Saccharomyces cerevisiae S288C: one gene and its partners. Each later gene encodes a partner of the first gene's protein in a complex. Each region holds a gene or a part of one and is shown in the gene's direction. Other genes may lie near its edges.

Evidence for each region.
Region 2: CFT1 (region 1) and PTA1 share a complex: the UniProt entries of both Saccharomyces cerevisiae proteins name them as parts of the cleavage and polyadenylation factor (CPF) complex.
Region 3: CFT1 (region 1) and SSU72 share a complex: the UniProt entries of both Saccharomyces cerevisiae proteins name them as parts of the cleavage and polyadenylation factor (CPF) complex.
Region 4: CFT1 (region 1) and MPE1 share a complex: the UniProt entries of both Saccharomyces cerevisiae proteins name them as parts of the cleavage and polyadenylation factor (CPF) complex.

Annotation. Positions count from the first base shown.
Region 1 is NC_001136.10:1,059,880-1,069,851, forward strand, and holds CFT1 (cleavage/polyadenylation factor CFT1), read left to right. Parts: upstream 1-3,472; coding exon 3,473-7,546; downstream 7,547-9,972. Other genes in the region: rRNA-processing protein BFR2, read left to right, coding at 1-1,352; PRO1 (glutamate 5-kinase), read right to left, coding at 1,626-2,912; mannose-ethanolamine phosphotransferase GPI11, read left to right, coding at 7,852-8,511; RSC3 (Rsc3p), read right to left, coding at 8,850-9,972. UniProt on the Saccharomyces cerevisiae protein: RNA-binding component of the cleavage and polyadenylation factor (CPF) complex, which plays a key role in polyadenylation-dependent pre-mRNA 3'-end formation and cooperates with cleavage factors including the CFIA complex and NAB4/CFIB.
Region 2 is NC_001133.9:58,195-66,435, reverse strand, and holds PTA1 (RNA-processing protein PTA1), read left to right. Parts: upstream 1-5,383; coding exon 5,384-7,741; downstream 7,742-8,241. Other genes in the region: cyclin CLN3, read left to right, coding at 1-658; Rho family guanine nucleotide exchange factor CDC24, read right to left, coding at 1,032-3,596; retrograde cargo receptor ERV46, read right to left, coding at 3,873-5,120; GCV3 (glycine decarboxylase subunit H), read left to right, coding at 7,974-8,241. UniProt on the Saccharomyces cerevisiae protein: Essential in pre-tRNA processing. Component of the cleavage and polyadenylation factor (CPF) complex, which plays a key role in polyadenylation-dependent pre-mRNA 3'-end formation and cooperates with cleavage factors including the CFIA complex and NAB4/CFIB.
Region 3 is NC_001146.8:225,247-231,645, forward strand, and holds SSU72 (RNA polymerase II subunit A C-terminal domain phosphatase), read left to right. Parts: upstream 1-3,847; coding exon 3,848-4,468; downstream 4,469-6,399. Other genes in the region: SQS1 (Sqs1p), read right to left, coding at 1-1,853; cysteine protease ATG4, read left to right, coding at 2,124-3,608; ribonuclease P/MRP protein subunit POP1, read right to left, coding at 5,822-6,399. UniProt on the Saccharomyces cerevisiae protein: Component of the cleavage and polyadenylation factor (CPF) complex, which plays a key role in polyadenylation-dependent pre-mRNA 3'-end formation and cooperates with cleavage factors including the CFIA complex and NAB4/CFIB.
Region 4 is NC_001143.9:323,943-330,958, reverse strand, and holds MPE1 (cleavage polyadenylation factor subunit MPE1), read left to right. Parts: upstream 1-1,515; coding exon 1,516-2,841; downstream 2,842-7,016. Other genes in the region: NUP120 (Nup120p), read left to right, coding at 1-103; TOA2 (transcription initiation factor IIA subunit gamma), read right to left, coding at 425-793; fructose-bisphosphate aldolase FBA1, read left to right, coding at 3,472-4,551; BLI1 (Bli1p), read right to left, coding at 4,847-5,188; stress-responsive transcriptional activator MSN4, read right to left, coding at 5,839-7,016. UniProt on the Saccharomyces cerevisiae protein: Component of the cleavage and polyadenylation factor (CPF) complex, which plays a key role in polyadenylation-dependent pre-mRNA 3'-end formation and cooperates with cleavage factors including the CFIA complex and NAB4/CFIB.

The DNA of each region.
Region 1 (9,972 bases):
GTTCAAGACAAGCATTATATGAAGAAGTTTCCGAGAATGAGGACGAAGAAGAAGAAGAAGAAGAGGAAGAAGAAAAAGAGGAAGATGCTCTTTCATTCAGGACAGATTCTGAAGATGAAGAAGTAGAGATTGATGAAGAAGAATCAGACGCGGACGGCGGTGAAACGGAGGAGGCTCAACAGAAAAGGCATGCACTATCGAAACTAATTCAACAAGAGACTAAACAAGCTATTAACAAACTGTCTCAATCAGTTCAAAGAGATGCTTCGAAGGGTTATTCCATTTTACAACAGACAAAATTATTTGACAACATCATTGATTTGAGAATAAAACTACAAAAAGCTGTAATTGCAGCAAATAAGCTCCCATTAACTACAGAGTCCTGGGAAGAGGCTAAAATGGATGATTCAGAGGAAACAAAGCGTTTGCTGAAGGAAAACGAAAAACTGTTCAATAATTTATTCAATCGGTTGATAAATTTCAGAATAAAATTCCAACTTGGCGATCATATCACTCAAAATGAAGAGGTGGCGAAGCATAAATTGTCCAAAAAAAGATCTCTCAAAGAGCTTTACCAAGAAACTAATAGCTTAGACTCAGAACTAAAAGAGTACAGGACTGCCGTATTAAACAAGTGGTCTACCAAAGTTTCTTCTGCATCAGGTAACGCTGCTTTATCATCTAACAAATTCAAAGCTATCAACTTACCTGCAGATGTACAAGTCGAAAACCAATTATCCGATATGTCCCGTTTGATGAAAAGAACAAAGTTGAACAGGAGAAACATAACGCCTTTGTATTTCCAAAAAGACTGTGCTAATGGCAGGCTACCAGAATTGATTTCTCCCGTTGTCAAAGATAGTGTTGATGACAATGAGAATTCGGATGATGGGCTTGATATCCCGAAAAACTATGACCCAAGAAGAAAGGATAACAATGCCATTGACATTACCGAAAACCCATATGTTTTTGATGACGAAGATTTTTACCGTGTTTTACTAAACGATTTAATTGACAAAAAGATTTCCAACGCTCACAATTCTGAAAGTGCAGCAATTACAATCACCTCAACTAATGCTCGTTCGAACAACAAGCTAAAGAAGAATATCGATACTAAGGCTTCCAAGGGTAGGAAATTGAACTACTCAGTTCAAGATCCAATTGCGAATTATGAAGCCCCCATCACATCCGGATACAAATGGTCAGACGACCAAATCGATGAATTCTTTGCGGGATTGTTAGGTCAACGAGTGAACTTTAATGAAAATGAGGATGAGGAACAACATGCCAGAATAGAAAATGACGAAGAATTAGAGGCTGTTAAAAACGATGATATCCAAATCTTTGGTTGAATATACATTTATTTTAAATACGCACAACTCATTTAATTTAGGGCTTATAAGTAGATAGAAGGATTTTAACGGATCACAAAAAGTAGCTGTTAACAACTACCTTTTTTTTGAGTTAAGAACACTAATGTGGATTAGGAAGAAACAGCTGCTCTGCACAATTCTTCAAAAAAACAAAACATGCTTAATGTGTCATTATTTAACCTGGAAATATAAAGGTAGTGTTTTATATAAGAAATATCATTAAGGGAATCCTCTATAACTTTTTAGTTCGTTTCAACGAGGTGGGAATGCCAAATTTTCTCTATGAGCGACATATTCGCTGTCATTATAGCCCAATTCCTCTTCGATTTGGTCACTGTGCAAACCTTTAATTTTAGTTAATTCAGAACTCGTGTAATTGCATCTTGCCTTGCCTACTGTTTGCAAGGGAAAATCTGGATCTAACGTGCCATCTGGTAACTTTTTACCAACTTTTATGTCAACACATTCTAACTCATGGAAAGTGCCCTGAACATCAATAACACCTGCTGGCAATAATCCCGCCTTATTTTTCCTTGTTAAGGCTGCGTACGCACCTTGGTCTATAACAACAGCGCCTTTAGAGACAAGACCGTGTAAAATCCAAAACTCTCTATTCTTTAGATGGTGTTTATTATCATTAGCAATGAACTTCGTATGTAGTGGAACGTTAAGAGCCTTTAATTTCTCAAATTCTCTTTTTTGCAAATCCGTTAAATCGCCATTATATGCTTGTTTAACTTTATTTTCATCGTCAAGTTCTAGAGTTTGCATATACTCGACAATTCTACCTATATTCGCAGGTGTATCGCTTTTCATGATCAACGTATGAACACCGGCATTCGTTGCCAAATCTGCAGCAACCAATTTAGTTTCCATACCACCGGTCCCAACGTCAGAACCTGAACCACCAGCAGTATTCACACCGGGCAAACCCTTTGAGAGATCTGGGACAACTAAGATCGGCATGGCATCTGGGTTTGTCCTTGGATTATCAGTATACAAACAGTCAACATCTGTCAGTAAGAAAAGATAATCTGCATGGATTAAAGCAGAAGTAATTGCTGATAAAGTGTCATTGTCACCAAATTTGATTTCTCTAACAGATAGTGTGTCGTTTTCATTCACAATGGGAATAACGCCCATGTTCAACAATTCATTAATTGTGTTTTGAGCGTTCTTATATTGGGTCCAGTCCAGAATATCATTTCTGGTCAATAGAATTTGAGCGATACGTTGATCAAATTGCGAAAACAGAAGATCCCATCTCCCGATCAATCTACCCTGCCCAATAGCTGCGATGGCCTGAACTTCTGCTAAATGTTTTGGTCTTTTATTCATACGCATAGTCCTCAAACCAACAGCAATACCACCACTGGACACGATGATAACTTTGTGTCCCATTCTTCTCAATTTGACTACAGTTTCGACAATAAGCGACATGATAGCTAACTTAGGTTCTTTGGTTTTTTCATCTACTAGCGATGAAGAGCCTAATTTGATCACTATAGTATACGATTTACTCTCATTAGCATCCTTCATTTTCGCGTTCTTATGACTATATTACAGTAGCTGATAAAATGACCTAAACTATGCCTATCTTTGAAGCAACTAGACATTAATCTTGAAAGACCGTTTTGATGGATGAATAATTCATCGAGAAAGCATTAGTTCGCTGATGTAATTTTTCATTTCCTGCCATCATGCGATGTGTGGGTGCTATTTATTTTCAATTCCTTTACCAAGGTACCTGATAGTGTCATAAATAAATAAATTTAGACCAAAATGTAACCATTGATAAGTGAGAGTCTTAAATTTAACATGTTCATACTTTAACTGGTGCTCAACCGATATATTATGATTCACTGTGCCACTGACCAGCCCTATTAGTGACATTTTGTGCTTCCTCATCCCGTCGGCTCCCAATAAGACAACGTAGTAAGTGATCTTAATATAAGGTAAGTTCGAGGTGACATATTTCACAGAGCAGCGTTAAAGCAATCATATGTAAATTGAGGAAGATCACCGTCCCTTGAACACTTCACTGATTAAAACTATCAGGTACTAACCTAGATTCGCTTTTTACTCTAGCTACTGGCCCTATGAATGTATATGATGATGTGCTTGACGCTACTGTTGTGTCTCATTCATTAGCAACACATTTTACTACTTCAGATTATGAGGAGCTCTTAGTGGTGCGAACAAATATCCTTTCTGTCTACAGGCCTACTAGGGATGGTAAACTGTATTTGACTGATGAGTTTAAGTTTCATGGCTTGATCACCGATATAGGCCTCATTCCCCAAAAAGACAGTCCGTTAAGTTGCCTGCTTTTATGCACAGGCGTCGCTAAAATCTCTATTTTAAAGTTCAACACGCTAACAAACTCAATCGATACCCTAAGCCTGCATTACTACGAAGGAAAGTTCAAGGGTAAATCGTTGGTAGAGCTGGCCAAAATTTCCACCTTGAGAATGGATCCTGGAAGTTCTTGTGCCTTACTGTTCAATAATGACATTATCGCTTTTCTACCCTTCCATGTCAATAAAAATGACGACGATGAGGAGGAAGAAGATGAGGACGAGAACATAGACGATAGTGAATTAATCCATAGCATGAATCAAAAATCCCAAGGGACGAATACTTTCAATAAGAGGAAGAGAACCAAGTTAGGTGACAAGTTCACGGCTCCAAGCGTGGTATTGGTAGCGAGTGAGTTGTACGAAGGCGCCAAAAATATCATAGATATTCAGTTCTTGAAAAATTTTACTAAACCAACGATAGCGCTCTTATACCAACCAAAGCTTGTTTGGGCAGGAAACACCACCATTTCAAAACTCCCTACACAATACGTTATACTCACATTAAATATCCAGCCTGCAGAAAGTGCCACCAAGATTGAATCAACCACAATAGCATTTGTCAAGGAACTGCCTTGGGATCTACACACCATTGTACCTGTTTCGAATGGTGCTATCATTGTGGGAACCAATGAACTGGCATTTCTAGATAATACTGGCGTTTTACAATCGACAGTATTATTAAACTCATTTGCTGATAAAGAGTTACAGAAAACAAAAATTATCAACAATTCTTCATTGGAAATTATGTTCAGGGAGAAAAACACTACGTCAATTTGGATACCTTCGTCCAAGAGCAAAAACGGAGGAAGTAATAATGACGAAACACTACTACTTATGGACTTGAAATCCAATATATACTATATCCAAATGGAAGCAGAGGGCAGGTTACTGATTAAATTCGATATTTTCAAGCTACCTATAGTCAATGATCTTTTGAAGGAGAACTCCAATCCAAAATGTATAACACGTTTGAATGCCACCAATTCAAACAAAAATATGGACTTATTTATTGGGTTTGGTTCAGGAAATGCTTTGGTTCTCAGATTGAATAATTTGAAATCTACCATTGAAACAAGAGAAGCACACAATCCATCTTCAGGTACAAATAGTTTGATGGATATCAATGACGACGATGATGAGGAAATGGACGATTTATACGCCGATGAAGCTCCTGAAAATGGACTAACAACTAATGATTCCAAAGGCACTGTGGAAACTGTTCAACCTTTCGATATCGAACTGTTATCATCTCTAAGGAATGTTGGTCCCATCACATCGTTAACTGTAGGTAAGGTATCTTCCATTGATGATGTGGTAAAAGGACTACCAAATCCAAACAAAAACGAGTATTCGCTAGTTGCCACATCGGGAAATGGTTCAGGTTCTCATTTGACCGTCATACAGACTAGTGTTCAACCGGAAATTGAATTAGCATTGAAATTTATCAGTATAACACAAATCTGGAATCTGAAGATCAAAGGAAGAGATAGGTACTTAATAACTACTGATTCCACAAAATCCCGGAGTGACATATATGAAAGTGACAATAACTTCAAACTTCATAAGGGCGGCCGTTTAAGAAGAGATGCTACTACAGTTTACATTTCAATGTTTGGTGAAGAAAAAAGAATAATACAAGTCACCACCAATCACTTATATTTATATGATACACATTTTAGACGTCTCACCACAATTAAATTTGACTACGAAGTTATTCATGTTTCCGTCATGGATCCGTATATACTAGTTACCGTATCAAGGGGTGATATTAAGATATTTGAATTGGAGGAAAAGAATAAAAGAAAATTGTTAAAAGTTGATTTGCCAGAAATTTTGAATGAAATGGTTATTACATCTGGTTTGATTTTGAAAAGCAATATGTGTAATGAATTTTTGATTGGGTTGAGTAAGTCTCAAGAAGAACAGTTATTGTTTACATTTGTTACTGCAGATAACCAAATTATCTTTTTTACTAAAGACCATAATGACAGAATCTTTCAACTAAATGGTGTTGACCAATTAAATGAATCTTTATACATTAGCACTTATCAACTGGGCGATGAGATCGTCCCTGATCCATCGATTAAACAAGTAATGATAAACAAACTGGGCCATGACAATAAAGAAGAATACCTGACAATATTAACCTTCGGAGGAGAGATTTACCAATATAGAAAATTACCACAAAGACGTAGTAGATTTTATAGAAACGTTACAAGAAATGATCTAGCTATTACTGGTGCTCCTGACAATGCATACGCCAAGGGTGTTAGTTCCATCGAAAGAATCATGCATTACTTTCCCGATTACAACGGTTATTCGGTAATATTTGTAACCGGTAGCGTTCCATACATATTAATAAAAGAAGATGATTCCACACCGAAGATTTTCAAATTCGGAAACATACCATTGGTTTCAGTCACTCCCTGGAGCGAGCGTTCAGTCATGTGTGTAGATGATATTAAAAACGCCAGAGTTTACACACTAACTACTGACAATATGTACTATGGTAACAAATTACCATTGAAACAGATAAAGATCAGCAATGTGCTTGATGACTACAAAACTCTGCAAAAACTAGTCTATCATGAAAGGGCTCAATTGTTTCTTGTATCTTATTGCAAGCGGGTTCCTTACGAAGCATTAGGAGAAGATGGCGAAAAAGTAATTGGTTATGACGAGAATGTTCCTCATGCGGAAGGATTTCAAAGTGGAATTTTACTCATTAATCCAAAAAGTTGGAAGGTCATTGATAAAATCGACTTTCCAAAGAATTCTGTCGTCAATGAAATGAGATCCTCTATGATTCAAATTAATTCAAAAACTAAGAGGAAAAGAGAATACATTATAGCCGGTGTTGCCAATGCCACCACTGAAGACACTCCACCAACTGGCGCTTTCCATATTTATGATGTGATAGAAGTTGTTCCCGAACCTGGTAAACCTGATACCAATTATAAGCTCAAGGAAATTTTTCAAGAAGAGGTCAGTGGTACTGTATCTACTGTTTGTGAGGTTAGTGGAAGATTCATGATTAGTCAAAGCCAAAAAGTTCTAGTAAGAGATATCCAAGAAGATAATTCCGTCATACCAGTGGCATTTTTGGATATTCCTGTTTTCGTTACGGATTCTAAAAGCTTTGGTAATCTTTTGATAATTGGTGACGCTATGCAGGGGTTCCAATTTATTGGTTTTGACGCAGAACCATACAGGATGATTTCATTGGGCAGAAGTATGTCGAAATTTCAAACAATGTCGCTAGAGTTTTTAGTGAACGGAGGGGATATGTATTTTGCGGCAACAGATGCTGACAGAAATGTTCATGTTTTAAAATATGCGCCAGATGAACCCAACTCTCTTTCGGGTCAACGTTTAGTCCACTGCTCCAGTTTCACGTTGCATTCCACCAATAGTTGTATGATGCTTTTACCAAGAAACGAGGAATTTGGCTCTCCTCAAGTGCCATCGTTTCAAAACGTTGGTGGCCAAGTGGATGGGTCAGTCTTCAAGATAGTTCCTTTAAGTGAGGAAAAATACAGAAGACTTTATGTGATTCAACAACAAATCATCGATCGAGAATTACAGCTAGGTGGTTTAAACCCTCGCATGGAAAGATTGGCCAACGACTTTTATCAGATGGGTCACTCTATGAGGCCTATGCTTGATTTCAACGTTATACGGAGGTTCTGTGGATTAGCTATTGATAGACGGAAAAGCATTGCGCAGAAAGCAGGAAGACATGCGCATTTTGAAGCATGGAGAGATATCATAAATATTGAATTTTCAATGAGATCTTTATGCCAGGGTAAGTGAACAATACATATAAAGGATATTTAATGCTAACTAGCCCGATATATACATCTATCTATCACTAGGCATTCGAGTAGTGAATAAGAACCACTACTTGAAACACTAGATTTGTAACAATAACGCATGTATCATCGTACATTTTCGGAACTATTTACGTAACGCGGGGATGAGGAAAAAGTTACTTTTTGCACAGCAAAAAAAACAAATAAAGAACAGTTAGTGAAATAAAGCAAAAGTGCAAACGGTGCCTTTAATCAAAGACTTTGCAGGAACATAAACAAGTGCACTAAAGAAGGTCCAATTTAAATATGCCAGCTAAAAAAAGGACTAGAAAGACAGTGAAAAAAACCGTATCATTCTCCGATGACACAACATTAACAACGCACCAAAATCGTGAGAAAAAGAACGTAGATCATGATCGTCCACCTGTGTATGTGAGGAAAACCCCTCTGATGACATTTCCATACCATTTAGTAGCACTACTTTATTACTACGTTTTTGTATCTTCAAATTTCAATACGGTGAAGTTGCTAAGTTTTTTGATTCCTACACAAGTTGCTTATTTAGTTTTACAATTCAATAAATGCACAGTTTACGGTAACAAAATCATTAAGATCAATTACTCATTGACCATTATTTGTCTAGGTGTTACATTTTTGTTGAGCTTTCCCACAATGTTATTAACTATATTATTTGGTGCGCCATTAATGGACTTATTGTGGGAAACCTGGCTGTTGTCACTGCATTTTGCATTTTTAGCATACCCTGCAGTTTATTCTGTATTTAATTGTGATTTCAAAGTGGGATTATGGAAGAAGTATTTTATCTTTATCGTTGTAGGGGGTTGGATTAGTTGTGTTGTCATTCCTTTGGATTGGGATAGAGATTGGCAGAATTGGCCAATTCCTATTGTTGTTGGAGGTTATTTGGGCGCTTTGGTGGGCTATACTATCGGTGCCTATATATAATATCGGTAATTTAAAAATTTGTATATAAAAAAATATAAGTATGATAGAGGTAACATAAACTGGTCCTATGCACAATTGAAAAATCTATGACAAAAACTAAATGATCTTTATACCAAACCCACCTATATGCTATTTGTACCATCTTAAAAGAAGGTAATAACTTCCATACAGATAAATAGCTAACAACATTAAATATCTCCCACTCTCCTCATTCTTTTCTTTTCATAATTTCCTTTTTCTGATTTATTCATTCTATATAAAAAAATAATACAAATCCTCAGATTAAATAATAAATACTATAAAAGTCTCAACTTCTTCTTTAATTTGTTTGAGTCGCTTTAGCTACGAATAGCCTCAAAAACTTCGTTGAAATTCTCCTTTGTTAAACCGAAAGTATCCGAATTTGCGTCGCTATCAACAGGAGCTGCTGCGCCTAAAACTCCATTAGAAACTGTGCTATTTTTCCTCTGTTCATAAAAATCCGTTTTTATCAGAGATTCTGAAATTTTACTCAACTCGTGATTTAATTTAATCAACTGCTCTGCAGATATGCCAGAAAATCCGTTATTAATGGAATAATTTGAATCGGCGCTAGTCGTTACCTTATTCTCCTCAAGATTTTTGATATACTTGGAGATTGTCTTAATTTTAATAATCAGATTTTCGATGAGTTTATTTTGCTTTTTACAATTCTTGGTATAATCACTTAACAACATTGCAATTTTGTTGATAATTAAATGAATAACATTTTTATTCTTTATTCTCTTACTATTGTCGTTATTACTATGAATATCTGTTTGCTCACTGATTTCATTAGCATCATTCGTCCTCTTTGAAGAATCAAAAGACCTTTGATAGAGCGCCAAAAGCATTAAAACTAAAGTTTGCAGAACCACAATAGATTTATTGATGAATGTGAATTCATGACCAGCAAATTTAATATTGGCTAAGTTCGAGAAAACAAAGAACAAGGTCTCCCTCGACAATTCCAAAAAGTCTTCCAAAATTTCGTTAAATTTAGCATAATTTTTCAATGTTTCAAATTGCAATAAGAGGTAAAAGTTCAAATATAACATTGAATTCCTGTAGATTAGAGAATCCATGATATTATTAATTATTGAAGGAGTCGTTAAACATCCTTGGCTGACCTCGATATTCTTATTTTTCAAAAGCTTGATTAACTGTATAATTTTATCAATGGATAGTTGTTGATCTTTACTTTGCAAATATTTCATCAAGTTTACTTCAAAATCAATCAATTCAAAATCGTTGTTCAACAAAGGATCAATAATTGGGGTAGAATTTGTGAAAGGTTCAGACATTAGCAACGGCAATTGACCTAAGAAAAGGTGTCTCCAGCAGTAGTTCTTAAATATGAAATTCCAGGTCAAAATATGAGATTGATTTTGAGTTTCATGATTTAACGATAGTAAACATGCCATATGCATATCTTCGTCGTAA
Region 2 (8,241 bases), on another chromosome or scaffold:
TAGCAATAAGACATCTTTAGCAAAATCTCTCTTAGACGCATTACAAAACTATTGTATTCAATTGAAACTGGAAGAATTCTACCGTTCACAAGAATTGGAAACCATGTACAATACTATCTTTGCTCAGTCCTTTGACAGCGATTCATTGACTTGTGTTTACTCAAATGCTACTACTCCAAAGAGCGCTACGGTTTCATCTGCGGCCACAGACTATTTCTCGGATCACACTCATTTAAGAAGGTTGACCAAAGATAGCATTTCTCCACCATTTGCCTTCACTCCAACCTCATCTTCATCCTCTCCATCTCCATTCAATTCCCCTTACAAGACTTCAAGTTCAATGACGACCCCAGACTCTGCATCACACCATTCACATTCAGGTTCGTTCTCTTCTACCCAAAATTCTTTTAAAAGGTCACTGAGCATCCCACAAAATTCAAGCATCTTTTGGCCAAGCCCACTAACTCCCACCACCCCATCTCTAATGTCAAATAGAAAATTATTACAAAATTTATCTGTGCGTTCAAAAAGATTATTTCCTGTTAGACCCATGGCCACTGCTCACCCATGCTCTGCCCCCACCCAACTGAAAAAGAGATCAACTTCCTCTGTGGATTGTGATTTTAATGATAGTAGCAACCTCAAGAAAACTCGCTGAAACGACAAAAAAAAAATGCATTTAACAACAAATAAATTAAAATTTGCAAAGCAAATACGTTAACATACATTAATGATCTTTTTTTCTTTTTGTTTTCACAGGACTCATTATTTCTTTAAATATACTTATATTACATTTGCATAGAATTACAAAAAAAAAAAAATTATAAAAACGCACAACCTAAAATACGATTACTATCGTTTTTTCTCCTTACTTCCTCTAGTCACATTATACATTTTTTTTCATCCTTCACAGACGTATCTTAATACTAAGTGTGGATCAATATAATGGGTATAGCTTGAACATCTGCCCCTCTCTATCTAATGTTTTTTTCTTGAATTATTTAGTATTTGCTGTATACTAGTTTTATTTATCAATACAGACGAATGTTCAAGAATTTCTCATTGTTTTCCGCCAACATTTCTTTAGCAACATTCCAATCTTCATCGCTACCTAACACAACAAAATCCCCATCTTCGTCCTGATATTTGATCTTGGTGATTGGTGAAATGTTGTTATTATGTGTATTCGAAATTTTAGAATTGATCGCCATTATCAAGTCGTCAAAATTCCAAACTTTTTCTACCAAAAGTGTGAAGATCTCGCTACTAGAGGTATTATTAGAGTTGTTATTATATGATATCCTGAAGAGTATGGAAGATTCTGGAATAGAGTTCTTGAAATTTTCTGAAATGGATTTAATTTCACTTTCGAAACTTGATGAAGTGGTCCTCCGTTTAGGCAGGACATCCGAAACCCTTTTCATATGAGAACTTGAGAAAGAAGCCATACTATCGTGTGTCTGGCGGCTGTTGTGATGATTCGGTGTATTCATAGTTGTGGTGGGTGACATCATTGAAGATGATTTGGCTGTCGATGAAGTCGTCGATGTTGAAGAGTGATGTCTTGCCTTAAACTGCTCATTTTTCAGATCATGAATCAACTGTTGTAAACACGATGACCAATTATCTCTTGTTTCCTCATTTTTGAATTTCAAAAGGAAATTACCTTGCTCTTTTATGGATTCCCATGTTATATTTAATGACCGGTTGTTTTGCGGTATGATTTGATTCAGATTCATTATCATAATTCGACCTCTTAGATCCAGCTTAGGTTCGTTAGCGGACAGCTTGAATAATGAGGATGATGATGAATTGTTGGAATTGTTGTCACTACTATTGGTACTGGAATGTATTATCGCCGCTGCTGAAGACGAAGATAAATGGATATTATTACTGCTACTACTATTGCTATGCCTCTTATGGTAACTGTGGTGAGGGCTGCCATTGTTGTCCGTTATGTTCGAGGCGGAGATTGATGCTGAGGTTGAGGATTTCTTCTTAAGGATTAGTGATGATGCAGATTTCTTAGTCACTACCTCTGAAAAAAGGATGATGATTTTTTCAAAAAGATAAACCTCAAATTCTCTTTCAGGTTCCGAGGAGCTATTTGTTGTTGAAATGAACACTTTATCGAAATATAATAACTCACCGAACTTGGAAATTCTATAACCCTTCCAGTTGACCACTCTACCATAAAGTTTCTTCACCACTTGATGATTTTCTGTTCTTCTTTGATTTTCGTTGATACTTCTCGCAATATTTTTAGAAATATCTAAAGCAGCTTCAAGTTCTTTCGTATTATTATCGTCACTCGATTCAGCAAGCAATTCTTTGACCAACAGGGGATATCTACAAAGCCTTTGCACGGGTTTATAAAGGAAGGATTGCAATTCCAGTTTATTGTTAATTATGAACCGCTGCGATTCATCAACCCTCATCTTGTGCAAAGTTGAAGAGAGAAATTCGATGGCTGCATTTTGGCCAATAGACCAAGGCTCATACAACTTAAAAAAATGTTTGGAATGCATGAAAAGAGCCCCGATTCTTTGCTTGGAAGGTTCTACTAAAGCATTTATTTCCAAGGATATTAGAAATCTTCTTTGAAAATCTATAGCATCACCCAAATTAGGGAACAACATGTACAACTCTTCAGACGTTATTAGATTGCTGTCTAATAACTGCTGTCTATATTTATCCAAAATTTCCAAATCGTGAACATATTTTCTTTCCGTTGCAACGAATTCCTTGATAATTTTAACATACTCGTTATGCTTCTTCGAAGACTGCTGAGGCTGATGTCGGTGTTGGTTTTCTGCGTTCATGATTTGCTGTGTCTTACTCTTAGAGGGGAAAATAGTAGGGCTGGAATTCATTAGCGTTTCTACTACTTCTAGCACTTTGACCAGCTGGGAAGTAGAGTTGGCAAAAACGTCGGATATAGTGAAAAGCTCCTCATCGTTAAATGCAAAGTGTTTCTTGCAGCCCAATATAAAGTCATAAATGGATTTTTTACAGACTTTCAAATCGTCAGATGCTATTACCGGTAATTTAAATTGCGGCTTCACAGAGTTGAAAAGTATACAGAGGGGCGCACCTTGTTGAAACAGCTGTGATAGTTGTGTCACAGGGTCGCAATCCATGGTAATGGGCAAAATACCCATACTAAAAGTCAGTAAAGTGTCCTCCATATTTGGGGTGGCCGAGGGATTCGAATTCGTGTATGATATACCTTCCATCGACATGAGACTGGTAGCTGTGGAGATAGAGCTAGACCTTAAAGTTGGTGCCAAGTCGCTACTGTCCCGGTTAGCGCCATTGGACTTGAGCAGTTCCTGATGCTGCTTTTGGGATAGCAAAAGAGATTGCCTTTCACTCAAAACCTCGCTCGATTGGTAGGCCAATTGTAAAAAAGGTTTGAGTTGAGGTAACACCTCCAGTCTTTTCCGGATGTTTGCGCATATATGGAACAGTGAGTCCTGTTCCGTGACAGGCTTGTTCATGACATTTTGCATGGGTATGGAGATGGAAGTTGCACTTGGTTTTGGTTTCAAATCGGATAAAGATGTGCCCGAGGCAAAACGGGTTTGGATCGCCATGATCTCTCGGGTTGGATTAGCAGACAGGTCTTGATAGGGCTAGGCAACAAATGATAACAGCAATGGTACTCTTCTGCTATCCTACCATAGCCACATTCTTGTTCTGTTTCTACCTTAAAGCTTCTGTTTTCCACTTCTTCCCACCAGTGCGTCGTTCTTCGCGATTATCGTACAATATGATATTTGTACAAGTAGTGATATACCAATTTCTATACTATATATATATATTATGTAGTAGTATGTAGAAAGGGCTCTTCCCTATGACAGTCTCTTCCTCTACTGGCTCTTCTTGCCCCAGATCGATCTCTGTGCTTTGTAGAATAGCTTGTCCATGACAGTGCCCACAGCTAGGACACCACCAATGCTGGTGATACAATTCAAGATGAAGCCCGACCAAGTCTGCCCGTGCTGTTCCTTATTGATGACTTTCAATGGAGACATTTCGAAAAAGACGAACATACCAGGGATACCACCCCTAACGTGAAGTGTGTTTGGATGATCCTTGTCCCTTCCACCGGCAAGAGGTCGGGAATGAAAAGTGGCGCTGAACTGCGCGGTCTCAATGACAACATTATCCAAGTACTCATATCTGGTGGGGACAATCTTGGCAAAATACGAGAACTGGTGAAAGTGTGTGTTCCTGTCCGGGAACACCTGGCGTCCGTCCAAGGGAGAAGTGGCAACTACGGCGCCGCCGTGGCGCTTATCGTTTCCTAACAACTTACTGTGGGACTGGATCGGCTTCCCAAAGCTCAAATGATTGATGATGTGGTTGAAGTTCAAATTCGAAGTCTTGTCGTACAAAGAAGTATCATGAAAATGTCCATATGCATTCTGGTAGGGTTTTCCAGGGGCAAAGTGAAGATTCCCCTGAATTCTGTTAATTTGTGCAGAACCTTTGATCCTGCAGCCTTCATTCAAGTGCTCGTTAATCTTGCTGACATAGCCCTCTCTTTCACACTGCTCGATATTCTTCCCGTCGAAAAAAGCCCAGCCTGCCTCCAAGTATGCTGATCTCACTGCATCACAGTCTTGGCAGCAAACCTTCTCTTCCTGTGCTAGATTCTCATTCTGCGACTGATCTTTGGCACCGTAACATGGCCCACAATAGTTAGGATCGTTATTAACCGGCGCGGTTCCGTCGCCGTTCCCACCCACATGCAACTCAGTAGCATCTCCCACGGGGCGACCCTCGCTATTCAACCTAGACATCGTGAACCCTGCGTCAAGAATGTCTAGTTGCATCTCTCCAGAGTCGTCCATAATATCGAGATTCACCAGGTCACATGGCATCGATGGAAATGTCACATCCATATTAAGCTCCAGCTTTGCGTGTCGGTCACGGTCCACCACCAATTGTGGCCTTGTTACCACAGAATTGAACTGTCCCCACTCGTTCACCAGCAGAAATAACGTGGTCAAGATGCACGATAAAGTGATCAGCCCGCCGGCCCTGGTGCGGACTCGTACGTCCTCTTCGGTCTTAGCGAATGCGTCCAGCGACAGCAACGTGGACCTTTTCATGATGTCTATTGTGTCTAGCTATGTGTGTTATATCACTGTCCTACTCCGCATGTATACGAGACATAAAACTAGCTTTCCTTTATAATGGCGTGGTTTCCACTCCATCTTGATGGAAAATCGCCGTTCTGATGTTCAAGTCGTATATAGTGACTTGATCTAAAAGTGAAAAGTTGCCATATTTCGATACCTTTTAACCGTTAGTACTTGACTGAACAAATGGTTAAATCGTGGCAAGAAGCATATAACTACCACTAAGCAGCGCAATGTCATCTGCAGAGATGGAACAATTGTTACAGGCCAAGACACTGGCCATGCACAACAATCCAACGGAGATGCTGCCCAAGGTGCTCGAAACTACGGCATCCATGTACCACAACGGTAATCTCAGCAAGCTGAAGTTGCCTTTGGCCAAGTTTTTTACACAGTTAGTTCTAGACGTGGTGTCGATGGACTCTCCAATTGCGAATACTGAGAGACCGTTTATTGCTGCTCAATATCTGCCACTACTTCTTGCTATGGCGCAATCCACCGCGGACGTACTAGTGTACAAGAATATCGTGCTTATTATGTGCGCTTCATACCCGCTGGTGTTGGATCTGGTTGCTAAGACATCAAACCAGGAAATGTTTGATCAGTTGTGTATGCTGAAGAAGTTCGTGCTCTCGCACTGGAGAACTGCATATCCTTTGCGTGCCACCGTTGACGATGAAACGGATGTCGAACAATGGCTGGCGCAGATTGACCAAAATATCGGCGTGAAATTAGCGACCATCAAGTTCATATCTGAGGTCGTGCTGTCGCAAACTAAATCACCCAGCGGCAACGAGATTAATTCATCTACCATCCCGGATAACCACCCTGTGTTGAACAAACCGGCTTTGGAGAGCGAGGCTAAGAGGCTTCTTGATATGTTGCTAAACTACCTAATTGAGGAACAGTACATGGTCTCGTCCGTTTTCATTGGTATCATCAATTCTTTATCCTTCGTCATCAAAAGAAGGCCGCAGACAACAATAAGAATTCTTTCCGGGCTGTTGCGTTTCAACGTCGACGCCAAGTTTCCCCTAGAGGGCAAGTCTGACTTGAACTACAAACTATCCAAGAGATTTGTTGAAAGGGCGTACAAGAACTTTGTGCAATTTGGGCTAAAAAATCAAATCATTACAAAATCCCTCTCATCCGGATCAGGGTCATCGATCTACTCCAAGCTGACCAAGATTTCTCAAACTTTACACGTTATTGGCGAAGAGACCAAGAGCAAGGGAATTTTGAACTTCGACCCTTCCAAGGGCAATAGCAAGAAAACGTTGTCCAGGCAGGACAAACTAAAATACATCTCACTATGGAAAAGGCAATTATCCGCGTTATTGTCTACTCTAGGGGTGTCCACAAAGACCCCCACGCCTGTGTCCGCACCTGCAACGGGCTCTTCAACCGAAAACATGCTTGATCAACTGAAGATATTGCAAAAATACACCCTCAACAAGGCTTCACACCAGGGCAATACTTTTTTCAACAACTCACCCAAACCAATCAGCAACACCTACTCATCTGTGTACTCATTGATGAACAGTTCGAACTCCAACCAGGATGTGACCCAGCTACCCAATGACATACTTATCAAGCTGTCCACAGAGGCCATCTTGCAAATGGACAGCACGAAACTGATCACCGGATTGTCTATCGTTGCTTCGAGGTACACGGATTTAATGAATACGTACATCAATTCTGTACCGTCCTCGTCATCATCAAAGAGGAAATCCGACGATGATGACGACGGCAACGACAATGAAGAAGTTGGAAACGATGGCCCAACGGCTAATAGCAAGAAAATCAAAATGGAAACAGAACCACTAGCGGAGGAACCAGAGGAGCCCGAAGACGATGACCGAATGCAGAAGATGCTTCAAGAAGAGGAAAGCGCCCAAGAAATCTCAGGAGATGCCAACAAATCAACTTCTGCCATTAAGGAGATCGCACCCCCCTTTGAACCTGACTCATTGACGCAGGATGAAAAACTAAAGTACCTCTCAAAGCTGACCAAGAAACTGTTTGAATTATCCGGTCGCCAGGATACTACCCGGGCCAAATCTTCGTCTTCCTCCTCCATATTACTGGACGATGACGACTCCTCGTCATGGTTACACGTCTTAATCAGATTGGTTACGAGAGGAATCGAAGCACAAGAGGCCAGTGACCTGATTCGTGAAGAACTGCTTGGCTTCTTCATCCAGGATTTCGAGCAACGTGTCAGTCTGATCATTGAATGGCTCAATGAAGAATGGTTCTTCCAAACCTCGCTGCATCAAGATCCCTCTAACTACAAAAAATGGTCCTTAAGAGTTCTCGAGTCTCTGGGTCCATTCCTTGAAAACAAACACAGACGATTCTTCATCAGACTTATGAGCGAACTGCCCAGTCTTCAAAGCGATCATCTTGAGGCACTGAAGCCTATCTGCCTGGATCCGGCAAGAAGTTCCCTTGGTTTCCAAACGCTAAAGTTTCTCATTATGTTTAGACCCCCAGTGCAGGACACTGTTCGCGACCTGCTGCATCAGCTAAAGCAAGAAGATGAAGGCTTACACAAGCAGTGCGATTCACTGCTTGACAGGCTAAAATGATCACAACCATTACATACATCATATATACGCATGTGTAGGGTCTTCCTTCAACTTGCAAATCAATGTTTTATCTATCATTCTGTGCTATAGGGACCTCGCAATTTTGACACTTCCGTAAGGAGTCATTCAGCGGCGGAGTCACTTTCGCTAACTCTTTCTTCTATATATACAGACCAACAAACAAGTATCTAATGGGAAAGGGAATCTCCACATGAAGCATACCACATCGACAATGTTACGCACTACTAGACTATGGACCACCCGCATGCCCACTGTGAGCAAATTGTTTTTGAGAAACAGCTCCGGCAATGCCCTAAACAAGAATAAACTACCATTTTTGTACTCATCCCAAGGACCTCAAGCCGTGAGGTACACTTCCCAACATGAGTGGATAGCTGTGCATCAGGACAAGACTGCCTTTGTCGGAATTACAAAATACGCCACTGATGCCTTAGGGGACGCTACCTATGTTGAGTTGCCAGAAGTGGGCACTGAGATTG
Region 3 (6,399 bases), on another chromosome or scaffold:
GGGAAAGTCAGTCTATCATTGTTCCTAGACAAAAAGGACTCAAATTCATCTTTAATATTTTGAATATGGAGTCCATATGGGTATTTCTTGAGCATATCGTTCGAATTTCTATTCTCCTGATCAATGAAATCTTCTTTGGCTTTTCTTTTCTTTGCTTTGGTTTCTATGCGTTTACTAAACTTACTTTGTAACGTCTCCAACGTTTCTGTATCCAGCGCTAAGGCGTCATCGATGAGTAGCTTCTTCTTCTTACCTTTACCCTTAGTTTCCAAGGACTTGGTTTCAAATGTTTTGAATCTTTCTGTATCATGTTTCAATGTGTATGCAATTAGGTCGTCCAGACCCTCTTCAATGTCGCTATGCACAACCGAGGAGGCCATATCTTCATCATCTTCATAGCTGTCGCCTTCATAGCTGTCACCTTCATCACTCGAATCAGAAATCGGAATATCTGAGTAGGTTGGCTCAGCTGGTTCAATTTTTGGTATAAGAGAATTTTTAATAAAATTCAAATATGCAGGTAATCTATCTTCAGGAAGACCTAACTCGTCTACAACGAAGTCTGTGAGTAAGTCCTGGTCAATCCAATGAAAGTCGTAATCTCCCAGTAATCTGTAACACCGTAGATAATATGAATTGTCTACTCCGCCCATTCTTATATTGGAGACCACTATGTCATTAGTATTTATGACAAAATCTTCTTCTTTGAATCCAAATTCTAACTCTTCGCTAGCAGGAGATGGCAGATTATCATTATTGCCTTCGAATGTTTTGGTACCATTTATTGAAAGACATTTTATATCTTCTGTCAACTGCGGACTAGGGCTTGGTAAAAGATTGTTGTCAGCTCGGGAATTGTGACGTTGGCCAACATAATTAAACCCTTGATCAACCTCAGAACTTGCTGAGGATTCGTATAAAGGTTCACTATTATTCTCTGTTTCTATTTCGTAGTCTAGTTCATCATTGTCCGAGTCGCTAGTATGCATACCATGTAATACGTTGGAAATGTAACCAGCAAATGGATGATATGTCTTATTACCCTTATTTGGAACGTCAACACTAATTTCCTTGCTTTCGTTACCTTCGGAAACGCTAAGTTCAACCTTTCCAATTGTTAAGATAGGATCGAACTCTATCGCAACTTCTCTTGGCCTTGCGATTTCCTCGATACATACTCTTTTTATTTTGGTTAGATCCGGCGATTGCTGAGCCTCTTCATCTACAAAAAACAGGTCACCATCTTCAACTTTGCTTTCATTCGAAGACAGCGAGTGGTCCGTCGAGGGTGAATTCTGACTATCATCATCCTCGTTTTCACTGTCTTCATTGTTAATATATTCAACATCAGAAGTCATCTTTCCTGGTTCTTCAAAAACGTCTGCTTCCCTTTCGACAATTTCTTCACTGTTCTTTGTTTCGTTCTTTGCTCTCAGTTTTTGAATCATATTGTGGGATGGATCGTAAACTTCCTTAGCTTTTACAAATTGCATAGGTCTTTTGCGGAATGCTGCCCTTCCTGCTTGTAGGTCAGTTGAAGAATCATATCGATTACCTGGTCTTAAACCACCCATTTTCATAGAACGGCTCTTGGCATCGCGACCAAAATAATAGTCTTCTATAGTTTTTGGTGATATGAATGCTCTTCCTGGGTTGAAGTCGGCGCCTACATCATCAAGATCACCTTCTCCTAGTGGTATAGAAGAGTTATGCCAACTGTTAGTGGGAGTAGGTTTTTTCTTTATCTTTCTGCCTTGTATGCCTTTAGCATTCCCCCTGCCAGCTTTCTTGGAATTGCTACCACGTGCATGCCTACGTCTGCTTCCTTGATAATGACTATGCCTTTTTGCCATTTTTTTTGACGGTTACAACAATTTATGCTTATATTTGACTCTGCGATTAAATCACTTCTTCCTTCTAGAAACTCTGCGCAGGCCTAATTGTTGTTGTTTTGTTCAGATCTTATTTAATTGTAAAATGTCAAATTTCACTTTTATTCTTTAGGCGGTGACCGTTGCAGCTGCCAACAATAGCGCCTCAAAGGAAAAAAGTAAAAATATACACACAATAACGTTAGTAGATGAAGAATGGACGACTTCTTATCACGTATAGGAGTGATATACATGCAGAGGTGGCTACAACTGTGGAAAATGGATTTGGTACAAAAAGTGTCTCATGGCGTTTTTGAAGGCTCGTCCGAAGAACCGGCTGCTCTTATGAATCATGATTATATAGTATTAGGGGAAGTATATCCTGAGCGAGACGAAGAATCTGGCGCTGAACAATGTGAACAAGACTGTCGATATCGCGGTGAAGCGGTTAGTGACGGGTTTTTAAGCTCTCTTTTTGGTAGGGAAATTTCTTCTTACACAAAGGAATTTCTTTTGGATGTACAATCAAGGGTCAACTTTACATATCGGACAAGATTTGTTCCTATAGCAAGGGCGCCAGATGGGCCTTCACCTTTAAGTCTAAATTTATTAGTACGTACAAATCCGATCAGTACAATAGAGGACTATATAGCAAATCCTGATTGCTTTAACACTGATATTGGGTGGGGGTGTATGATAAGGACAGGACAAAGTTTGTTGGGGAATGCCTTACAAATCCTTCATTTGGGCAGAGATTTCAGGGTAAATGGTAACGAAAGTCTGGAAAGAGAATCAAAATTTGTAAATTGGTTTAATGACACGCCTGAGGCTCCATTTTCGTTACATAACTTTGTTTCTGCAGGTACAGAACTCTCTGATAAAAGACCAGGTGAATGGTTTGGTCCCGCAGCTACGGCAAGGAGTATACAATCTTTAATATATGGCTTCCCCGAATGTGGCATCGATGATTGTATAGTATCTGTTTCATCCGGCGATATCTATGAAAATGAAGTTGAAAAAGTATTTGCTGAGAATCCAAATAGTAGAATATTGTTCTTGTTGGGCGTGAAGCTCGGGATTAATGCGGTAAATGAGAGCTATAGAGAAAGTATATGTGGTATCTTAAGTTCAACACAGTCAGTAGGCATTGCCGGCGGTAGGCCGTCTTCATCGTTGTATTTTTTTGGTTATCAAGGAAATGAATTTTTACATTTCGATCCTCATATTCCTCAACCGGCAGTAGAAGATTCATTTGTAGAGTCGTGCCATACCAGTAAATTTGGTAAATTGCAACTATCGGAAATGGATCCCTCGATGCTCATTGGTATTTTGATTAAGGGCGAAAAAGACTGGCAACAATGGAAGCTAGAAGTTGCAGAATCTGCTATTATCAATGTTCTTGCTAAGAGAATGGATGACTTTGATGTGAGTTGTAGTATGGATGACGTGGAAAGTGTAAGTTCTAACTCAATGAAGAAAGATGCAAGCAATAATGAAAATCTCGGAGTACTAGAGGGAGACTACGTAGATATTGGTGCAATATTCCCACACACAACAAATACAGAAGATGTAGACGAATATGATTGTTTTCAAGATATTCATTGCAAGAAACAGAAGATTGTTGTTATGGGAAACACACACACTGTTAATGCGAATTTAACAGATTATGAAGTAGAAGGCGTCCTTGTAGAGAAGGAAACGGTAGGTATTCACAGTCCTATTGATGAAAAATGCTAGTGTAAGGAATTCACTAGTTCATAAGCATATATACTTGTTTTAATATATTCCCTAAAACTGAGGTATCCAGTTCTTTTGTTCTTATTCGTTTGATCATCCTTTACGTATTTTTCGTCTGCGGCAGTGGAAAGAACTTAAAAAACGAAAGATAATAAAGAAAAAGGCCAGTCGGCACGAATTAAAGACCACCTGTAAGAAGATTAAGACAACGGTGGTATAAACTAGTGTCGAAGTCCAAAATGCCTAGTCATCGCAATTCAAACTTGAAGTTTTGCACAGTTTGTGCATCAAACAACAATCGTTCAATGGAATCGCATAAAGTCCTGCAAGAAGCAGGCTATAATGTTAGCTCTTACGGAACAGGTTCAGCTGTGAGACTGCCTGGTCTATCGATAGATAAGCCTAATGTGTACTCATTTGGTACACCCTATAATGATATATATAATGATCTTTTATCACAATCAGCAGACCGTTACAAGTCGAACGGTTTATTGCAAATGCTGGATCGTAATAGAAGACTCAAAAAAGCACCTGAAAAATGGCAAGAAAGTACAAAAGTCTTCGACTTCGTTTTCACTTGTGAAGAGAGATGTTTTGATGCCGTTTGTGAAGATTTGATGAATAGAGGTGGGAAATTAAACAAAATAGTGCATGTAATTAATGTTGACATTAAAGATGATGATGAAAATGCTAAAATTGGTAGCAAAGCTATATTGGAATTAGCTGATATGCTCAATGATAAAATAGAACAATGTGAAAAAGATGACATTCCCTTTGAAGATTGTATAATGGACATTTTAACTGAGTGGCAAAGCTCACATTCTCAACTACCGTCATTATACGCTCCTTCATATTACTAAACAAAACGGTCAATTACTGTAGAAAAGCATAAGCATTAAGCGGCCCTCATGAATCCTACATTATCCGTGAAATTTCAATACTTTCACAAGTCTTCGATAGCTTCCTAGTTATATTCATTATATAATATTACGTTTCTTGTTGCGGCTCTCTTAAGCACATTATTTGCTTGTTGTCCACATAGCTATTTTTTTATCAAGAAGCTTGATATACAACACACTGTATTTTTAGTAAGCTGGACAATGTCTTGTCTCAATGTAGCGTATAACAGGTTTCATTCCAAAACACATCACCAGATATAGGACTGAAATGAAGAAAATAGAAGCATGAAACTTTAAAAGTTTCAGTACTTTAAGAAAGAAATAAATAGAAAAATGTTCCATTTATTTCTGAAAATAAATCAAAAATTATAAGATCCACCCGTTCCTACCAAGACCTTCCAAAATTTTTCCCATAACGGGAACGAGCAAAGTTGAGACTGCTCAAAAGAGCACATCTTCAAACTACAATCCCGACCAAATAATCTCAACAGCCATACCTTCATCATAAACTTAAGTTCATTCGAATCTGCCGTCAAAAACTAAAATGGCACGCTAGAGAAAAGTAGTCAAAAAGAATGCCTCTACAAAGCTCTCTTTTGAAAGGCCCCAGCTCCCCTAACACCAATTTGAATTTGGTGTCAAACTTCTCCAGGCAGAAGAAACAAAGGGCCCCAAAAATCAGTTTAACCCAAAAATCCCCAAAGGAATCAAGGGATTAACCAATGATTGAAACAAGGGAATGGAAACGTCAGCAAACACGCCTTCCGCGCCGTATGTGTGTGTGACCAAGGAGTTTGCATCAATGACTTCAATGAACAATTATAGTTCAATGATAAATGCTTAACGTCCTTCTACTATTGGAAGCGCATGTTTGATCAGTAGGACTTCTTGATCTCCTCTGATATCTTAAGGTAAGTATGAGGATTTTAAAAAAATTCAAGAAAAAACTATATTTTAACGCTAAAAGTATGTTTGTAAAATAGTTCTATTAAATGGAACTTCTTCTCTCTATTTATACGTCTTGCCAATGGAAAACTCGTCGCCTTAGAAAAAAAAAAGGTGCAAAGACGGGTAATAATTTCATTGACATTTTCAAGAGCTAGGGAATGAATCAATGAGCCCTATGATGGCAGCGTAGATCACCGTATTTAAATTAACATATAATAAGATTTGTTGCCACTTTCAATCTCTAAATGTGTACGTATAGAGTTCCAGGAAGCAAAAAGACCATTATTGCGCGATATGATTGCTATTTGCCCTCTGTATACATAGCTTTATAGGATATCGGTCGTACATATAATTCAGTTCAGTTCATTATACGGATATTTTCGACCACTCCCCCAACCTATAAGTGTTGGTACCTACATTTCTGATCAGTACATACCTAGTTGGTTGCCGGATGGCCGCATGATGATCTATAAATCCGATTCCCATACCATTTCCACAATTTAAGTGGTAGGTGCCGCTGGTAATAAAACCAATCAAATCATGTACCTCTGGAAGTGGAATTTTCAAATCATGATCTTTTCTTCCGTTTGGGCGGTAAACCCCTTTTGCCAATTGTAGCCAATGCTCTAAGTCCTTTTCTGGAACTTGATATATTCTTGCATTGTCCTTTGGGTGACCTCGTTCGAGTAGTGTGCAAGATACAGCAATGATACAACGTGGGAAGAATGTAAGGGAGAATGAAGAACTATTGACGCTAATGCTATCAGGAGTGCGAAATTGACATTTCCGATTTTTACACAATGCAACTGGTATGTTCTCTTCAATCGACAACGACATAGCCTTGGTCTTGGCTTCATAATCTTTGCAAAACTCCAAAACATCATTTACACAGTTGATGTCTCTTACACCCTGAGCGTTAAATTGCCCGGTCTTCTTACTGTCCA
Region 4 (7,016 bases), on another chromosome or scaffold:
CAACGTTTTATCTAGCTTTGATAGTGCATACGATCAATGGATTCTAAACGGAAGTAAAGTGGTTACTTTAACTGATTTAAGAGATGAGTTACGAGGTCTATAGTGAATATATAAACTGTAAATTAATACTTCATTTAAAAAATTGATCAACTCAAATCCGAATATTAGCACCATGATCTTCGTTTGTTTTTTAAGTAAAAAGATTGAACTTTAAATCTAAATTATTATTACATGAATGTACAGACAGGAAAAATAAAAAACAAAAACAGAAGAATCACAAGTTCCCTAATATAAAAGAATACAAAACATTATTTCATGACACTGTTCCTAGAGCTTGTATTAAAAGCGGTAGAAGAGAGGAGATAATAGAGAAATTTCAATGTAACTATTGGTCAACAAAGCATCCGGGCATATAGCATAGATATTACTCGCTCTTTTTTGAGTTACATGCCACAATCCTCAACTTATCCACCGAAATTACACTTTGGCTATCTCCAGACCCGTTCTGGGAGGCGTCGCGGTGGCTGTCCTCAACAGTAACCTGACAATTTTTTACGATAAAAGTCCAAACATCATCGCAAAATCCATATGTGTCCAGGTTTCCTTTCACAGTCAATTTAGATTGGGTATTGTCTTTTAAAGTCTCAGCCACCACTTTGTCAAATGTCTCTAAAACACGCATAGCTAACGACGCTTCTATTCTCCCATCACTAATTAAAGTATCAAGAGCATCCACCAAACTATTCCCTATAGTACTTCTACGATATAATTCGTAATACCCGGGTACTGCCATTTATCCTTACTGTTATCTTCGATAGCCTGTGTCCCCCTCCTAACCTCTAAGTGCATCTTCTACTTATTCCTTATTCGGTCGAATATTTCACAAAGTATTCTAAGGCGTTAAGAAAATATTGTTATTAGTAAAATTAGCTTACCCGGCAATACAACAATAATGAAGCTAACATTATGTTGTATTGACAATTCAGTTCATGTTTGACATTTGCCTAGCAGAAGACATTATCTGCCATGCAACCTGAAAATTCATAGAACTTTTGGAACTTATTTATCTATCTTTCTTCAATTTCTTTGGTTAACACTTTTTTTTTATGTTTTTTTACGTTTTGAGATCATAAATATTTGGAAATATAAATAATCACAAATTCATAACAACTCTTTTTTTAGATAAAGTAAAAACACAGTTATGTATGTAAAGTATTTTAAAACATAAAAAAGGATGATCGACTTGATATATTCATTATCATGTAGTGTATAAGCGGTAAATATAACTACCTTAATCCATTGCTGGTGCAATAACCTTCCTTATGCCATTATATTATGTCACAACATTGTAATTCAGGCGGGTAACTTTACTGAAAGTTAATACAATGATGATGAATATCAAGCATATTGTTAATAACCAAGTTTATGGCCAACATAAAATAAGCAAGAACAATCAAGAGGGTACTGAAATTTCGGTAGCTCTCATCATATCGGCAGAGACTGGAATAGTGTAACATGAGTAGCACGATATTTTACCGCTTTAAGTCTCAACGAAACACATCAAGAATTTTATTTGATGGTACCGGCCTGACAGTATTTGATTTGAAAAGGGAAATTATTCAAGAGAACAAACTAGGTGACGGCACAGATTTCCAATTAAAAATTTACAACCCAGATACAGAAGAGGAATACGACGATGATGCCTTTGTTATACCTAGATCTACTAGTGTCATAGTAAAAAGATCTCCAGCAATTAAATCATTCTCCGTACACAGTCGACTTAAAGGGAATGTGGGAGCAGCAGCTCTTGGGAACGCAACAAGGTATGTTACTGGTAGGCCAAGAGTGTTGCAAAAGAGACAACACACTGCTACAACCACTGCTAATGTTAGTGGTACAACGGAAGAAGAAAGAATTGCTAGTATGTTTGCCACACAAGAAAATCAATGGGAACAAACGCAAGAAGAAATGTCTGCAGCCACACCTGTTTTTTTCAAGTCACAGACGAATAAGAATTCTGCACAAGAAAACGAAGGCCCACCGCCACCAGGTTATATGTGCTATCGTTGTGGGGGTAGAGACCACTGGATTAAAAATTGTCCAACTAACAGCGATCCAAATTTTGAAGGAAAAAGAATCAGAAGAACCACAGGTATTCCAAAGAAGTTTTTAAAATCCATTGAAATAGATCCCGAGACAATGACACCGGAAGAGATGGCTCAGCGAAAGATTATGATTACGGACGAAGGCAAGTTCGTGGTACAAGTTGAAGACAAACAATCATGGGAAGACTACCAAAGGAAAAGAGAGAACCGTCAAATTGATGGTGATGAAACCATTTGGAGAAAAGGCCATTTCAAAGATCTTCCTGACGATTTAAAATGTCCCTTGACAGGTGGTCTTTTGAGGCAGCCGGTAAAGACAAGCAAGTGCTGTAACATAGATTTCTCAAAAGAGGCGCTGGAAAATGCACTGGTAGAGAGCGACTTTGTATGCCCCAATTGCGAAACCCGCGATATCCTTCTCGATTCTTTAGTACCCGACCAGGACAAGGAAAAGGAGGTCGAAACGTTTTTGAAGAAACAAGAGGAACTACACGGAAGCTCTAAAGATGGCAACCAGCCAGAAACTAAGAAAATGAAGTTGATGGATCCAACTGGCACCGCTGGCTTGAACAACAATACCAGCCTTCCAACTTCTGTAAATAACGGCGGTACGCCAGTGCCACCAGTACCGTTACCTTTCGGTATACCTCCTTTCCCCATGTTTCCAATGCCCTTCATGCCTCCAACGGCTACTATCACAAATCCTCATCAAGCTGACGCAAGCCCTAAGAAATGAATAACAATACTGACAGTACTAAATAATTGCCTACTTGGCTTCACATACGTTGCATACGTCGATATAGATAATAATGATAATGACAGCAGGATTATCGTAATACGTAATAGTTGAAAATCTCAAAAATGTGTGGGTCATTACGTAAATAATGATAGGAATGGGATTCTTCTATTTTTCCTTTTTCCATTCTAGCAGCCGTCGGGAAAACGTGGCATCCTCTCTTTCGGGCTCAATTGGAGTCACGCTGCCGTGAGCATCCTCTCTTTCCATATCTAACAACTGAGCACGTAACCAATGGAAAAGCATGAGCTTAGCGTTGCTCCAAAAAAGTATTGGATGGTTAATACCATTTGTCTGTTCTCTTCTGACTTTGACTCCTCAAAAAAAAAAAATCTACAATCAACAGATCGCTTCAATTACGCCCTCACAAAAACTTTTTTCCTTCTTCTTCGCCCACGTTAAATTTTATCCCTCATGTTGTCTAACGGATTTCTGCACTTGATTTATTATAAAAAGACAAAGACATAATACTTCTCTATCAATTTCAGTTATTGTTCTTCCTTGCGTTATTCTTCTGTTCTTCTTTTTCTTTTGTCATATATAACCATAACCAAGTAATACATATTCAAAATGGGTGTTGAACAAATCTTAAAGAGAAAGACCGGTGTCATCGTTGGTGAAGATGTCCACAACTTATTCACTTACGCTAAGGAACACAAGTTCGCTATTCCAGCTATTAACGTCACCTCTTCTTCTACTGCCGTCGCTGCTTTAGAAGCTGCTAGAGACAGCAAGTCCCCAATCATTTTGCAAACCTCTAACGGTGGTGCTGCTTACTTCGCTGGTAAGGGTATCTCTAACGAAGGTCAAAATGCTTCCATCAAGGGTGCTATTGCCGCTGCCCACTACATCAGATCCATTGCTCCAGCTTACGGTATCCCAGTTGTCTTACACTCTGACCACTGTGCCAAGAAGTTGTTGCCATGGTTCGATGGTATGTTGGAAGCTGATGAAGCTTACTTCAAGGAACACGGTGAACCATTATTCTCCTCCCACATGTTGGATTTGTCTGAAGAAACCGATGAAGAAAACATCTCTACTTGTGTCAAGTACTTCAAGAGAATGGCCGCTATGGACCAATGGTTAGAAATGGAAATCGGTATTACCGGTGGTGAAGAAGATGGTGTTAACAACGAAAACGCTGACAAGGAAGACTTGTACACCAAGCCAGAACAAGTTTACAACGTCTACAAGGCTTTGCACCCAATCTCTCCAAACTTCTCCATTGCTGCTGCTTTCGGTAACTGTCACGGTTTGTACGCTGGTGACATCGCTTTGAGACCAGAAATCTTGGCTGAACACCAAAAGTACACCAGAGAACAAGTTGGTTGCAAGGAAGAAAAGCCATTGTTCTTGGTCTTCCACGGTGGTTCCGGTTCTACTGTCCAAGAATTCCACACTGGTATTGACAACGGTGTTGTCAAGGTCAACTTGGACACTGACTGTCAATACGCTTACTTGACTGGTATCAGAGACTACGTCTTGAACAAGAAGGACTACATAATGTCCCCAGTCGGTAACCCAGAAGGTCCAGAAAAGCCAAACAAGAAGTTCTTCGACCCAAGAGTCTGGGTTAGAGAAGGTGAAAAGACCATGGGTGCTAAGATCACCAAGTCTTTGGAAACTTTCCGTACCACTAACACTTTATAAGTTAATTCAAATTAATTGATATAGTTTTTTAATGAGTATTGAATCTGTTTAGAAATAATGGAATATTATTTTTATTTATTTATTTATATTATTGGTCGGCTCTTTTCTTCTGAAGGTCAATGACAAAATGATATGAAGGAAATAATGATTTCTAAAATTTTACAACGTAAGATATTTTTACAAAAGCCTAGCTCATCTTTTGTCATGCACTATTTTACTCACGCTTGAAATTAACGGCCAGTCCACTGCGGAGTCATTTCAAAGTCATCCTAATCGATCTATCGTTTTTGATAGCTCATTTTGGAGTTCGCGATTGTCTTCTGTTATTCACAACTGTTTTAATTTTTATTTCATTCTGGAACTCTTCGAGTTCTTTGTAAAGTCTTTCATAGTAGCTTACTTTATCCTCCAACATATTTAACTTCATGTCAATTTCGGCTCTTAAATTTTCCACATCATCAAGTTCAACATCATCTTTTAACTTGAATTTATTCTCTAGCTCTTCCAACCAAGCCTCATTGCTCCTTGATTTACTGGTGAAAAGTGATACACTTTGCGCGCAATCCAGGTCAAAACTTTCCTGCAAAGAATTCACCAATTTCTCGACATCATAGTACAATTTGTTTTGTTCTCCCATCACAATTTAATATACCTGATGGATTCTTATGAAGCGCTGGGTAATGGACGTGTCACTCTACTTCGCCTTTTTCCCTACTCCTTTTAGTACGGAAGACAATGCTAATAAATAAGAGGGTAATAATAATATTATTAATCGGCAAAAAAGATTAAACGCCAAGCGTTTAATTATCAGAAAGCAAACGTCGTACCAATCCTTGAATGCTTCCCAATTGTATATTAAGAGTCATCACAGCAACATATTCTTGTTATTAAATTAATTATTATTGATTTTTGATATTGTATAAAAAAACCAAATATGTATAAAAAAAGTGAATAAAAAATACCAAGTATGGAGAAATATATTAGAAGTCTATACGTTAAAACCAGAACGTGCACAATTTTTTTAATCTGCCAAATGGAAAAAACGGAAATATACGGAAAAGAAGTTGAAGTAATAGTTAGAAAGGCAAAAAAGGAAAGAAACAATTTAAAATATCTTAAGATTATATTAGAAACAAACACCAATGTTCATTTCATTCCTTAGAATATATCCGAATGAAATGACCAACCTACTTGTTTTGTAAACTGAGGAAGAAAGAATATTATTTCTCCGAAAACTTGTCATACCGTAGCTTGTCTTGCTTTTATTTGCTTTTGACCTTATTTTTTTCAAAAATCACCGTGCTTTTTGTGAGTTTTTAGATGTTGTGATAAATTGTCACTTCTACTGAATTTTTTCTCACAGAACATACAAGCAAAAGGGCGTTCCGTTGAATGAACGGATCTTATATGCCTTTTCAAGTGCTCACTGCGTCTGAATGCCTTCTCACAGTCTTTACACTTGAAAGGTTTATTTTTATCGTAGTTGTTGGGGTCAATGGTAGTAATAGATTTCCTTTTCCGAGGTTGGACAGGAACCTTACCATTGTTGTTGTTATGAGAAATAGTTGGACTTAAAGTAACACTTGACGACTTTCTTCTTCTTGTGTTTGGGCTTACCGTTGCCTGTTTAGTAGGTTGTTGTTGATGATGTTGAGCTGCATGGTGAGCTTGACTAGTAGGAAGTATTTTGAACGAAGAGTTCATCGAGATATCATAGCTTCTTCTTTGGAAAGCTGGTGTAGGTGTGATATTATCAACACCAGAAGTCGCCAATTTAGCGGCAGCAGAGGCATTATCCGACAACATCATAGAGGGTTTGATAAACTGTTGATCCTGAGCCGGAGATGACTTGAGAATGTTGAAGGGGTCTACGTTATTGTCGAATGCCGACATTGTGGTTGCATCTAAGCTATTGTAATTTAGCGCACCAAAAGCATCGTCTTCATTTTCTTCTGAAAGAAATGATGCGGAATCAGACAGAGGATTTGCCATCACCGAATCATTTGCAAAAGATTCAATATCATGAATTAAGGGCAAAGAGGCACGCTGTTGCCTTGTGGTGCTACTGCTATGGGAGATGCGATTTAAAGAAGAGGAAATGCTTTTTGGCTTTGTTATACCAGAGTCCTTAGAAAAATCCATACTATAACCGCTCAGAGCTTGAGAAACGTCATGATCTAATAATTTGAAGTTTGGATTAGAGTTGTTTATAGTGGTAGTAGGTGAAATGGTTGATCCACGCCTCTCAGTAGTGGCAGTACCTTCAGGGATAATTTGTTGAGTGGGTTTACTGTTGCTACTATTTTTGTGATTGAGATTCCAAAACTCTATCGAATGAGAGATCGAATTTCTAGAATCCGTCATAGAAGGAAAGGAAGAGGTAACCACCTCGCTGTATCTTCTTGCGTCGCGACCAGCGTCCGGCATGAACTTCAATGCTTCTTCTGAAGATACAAAATCCTCTA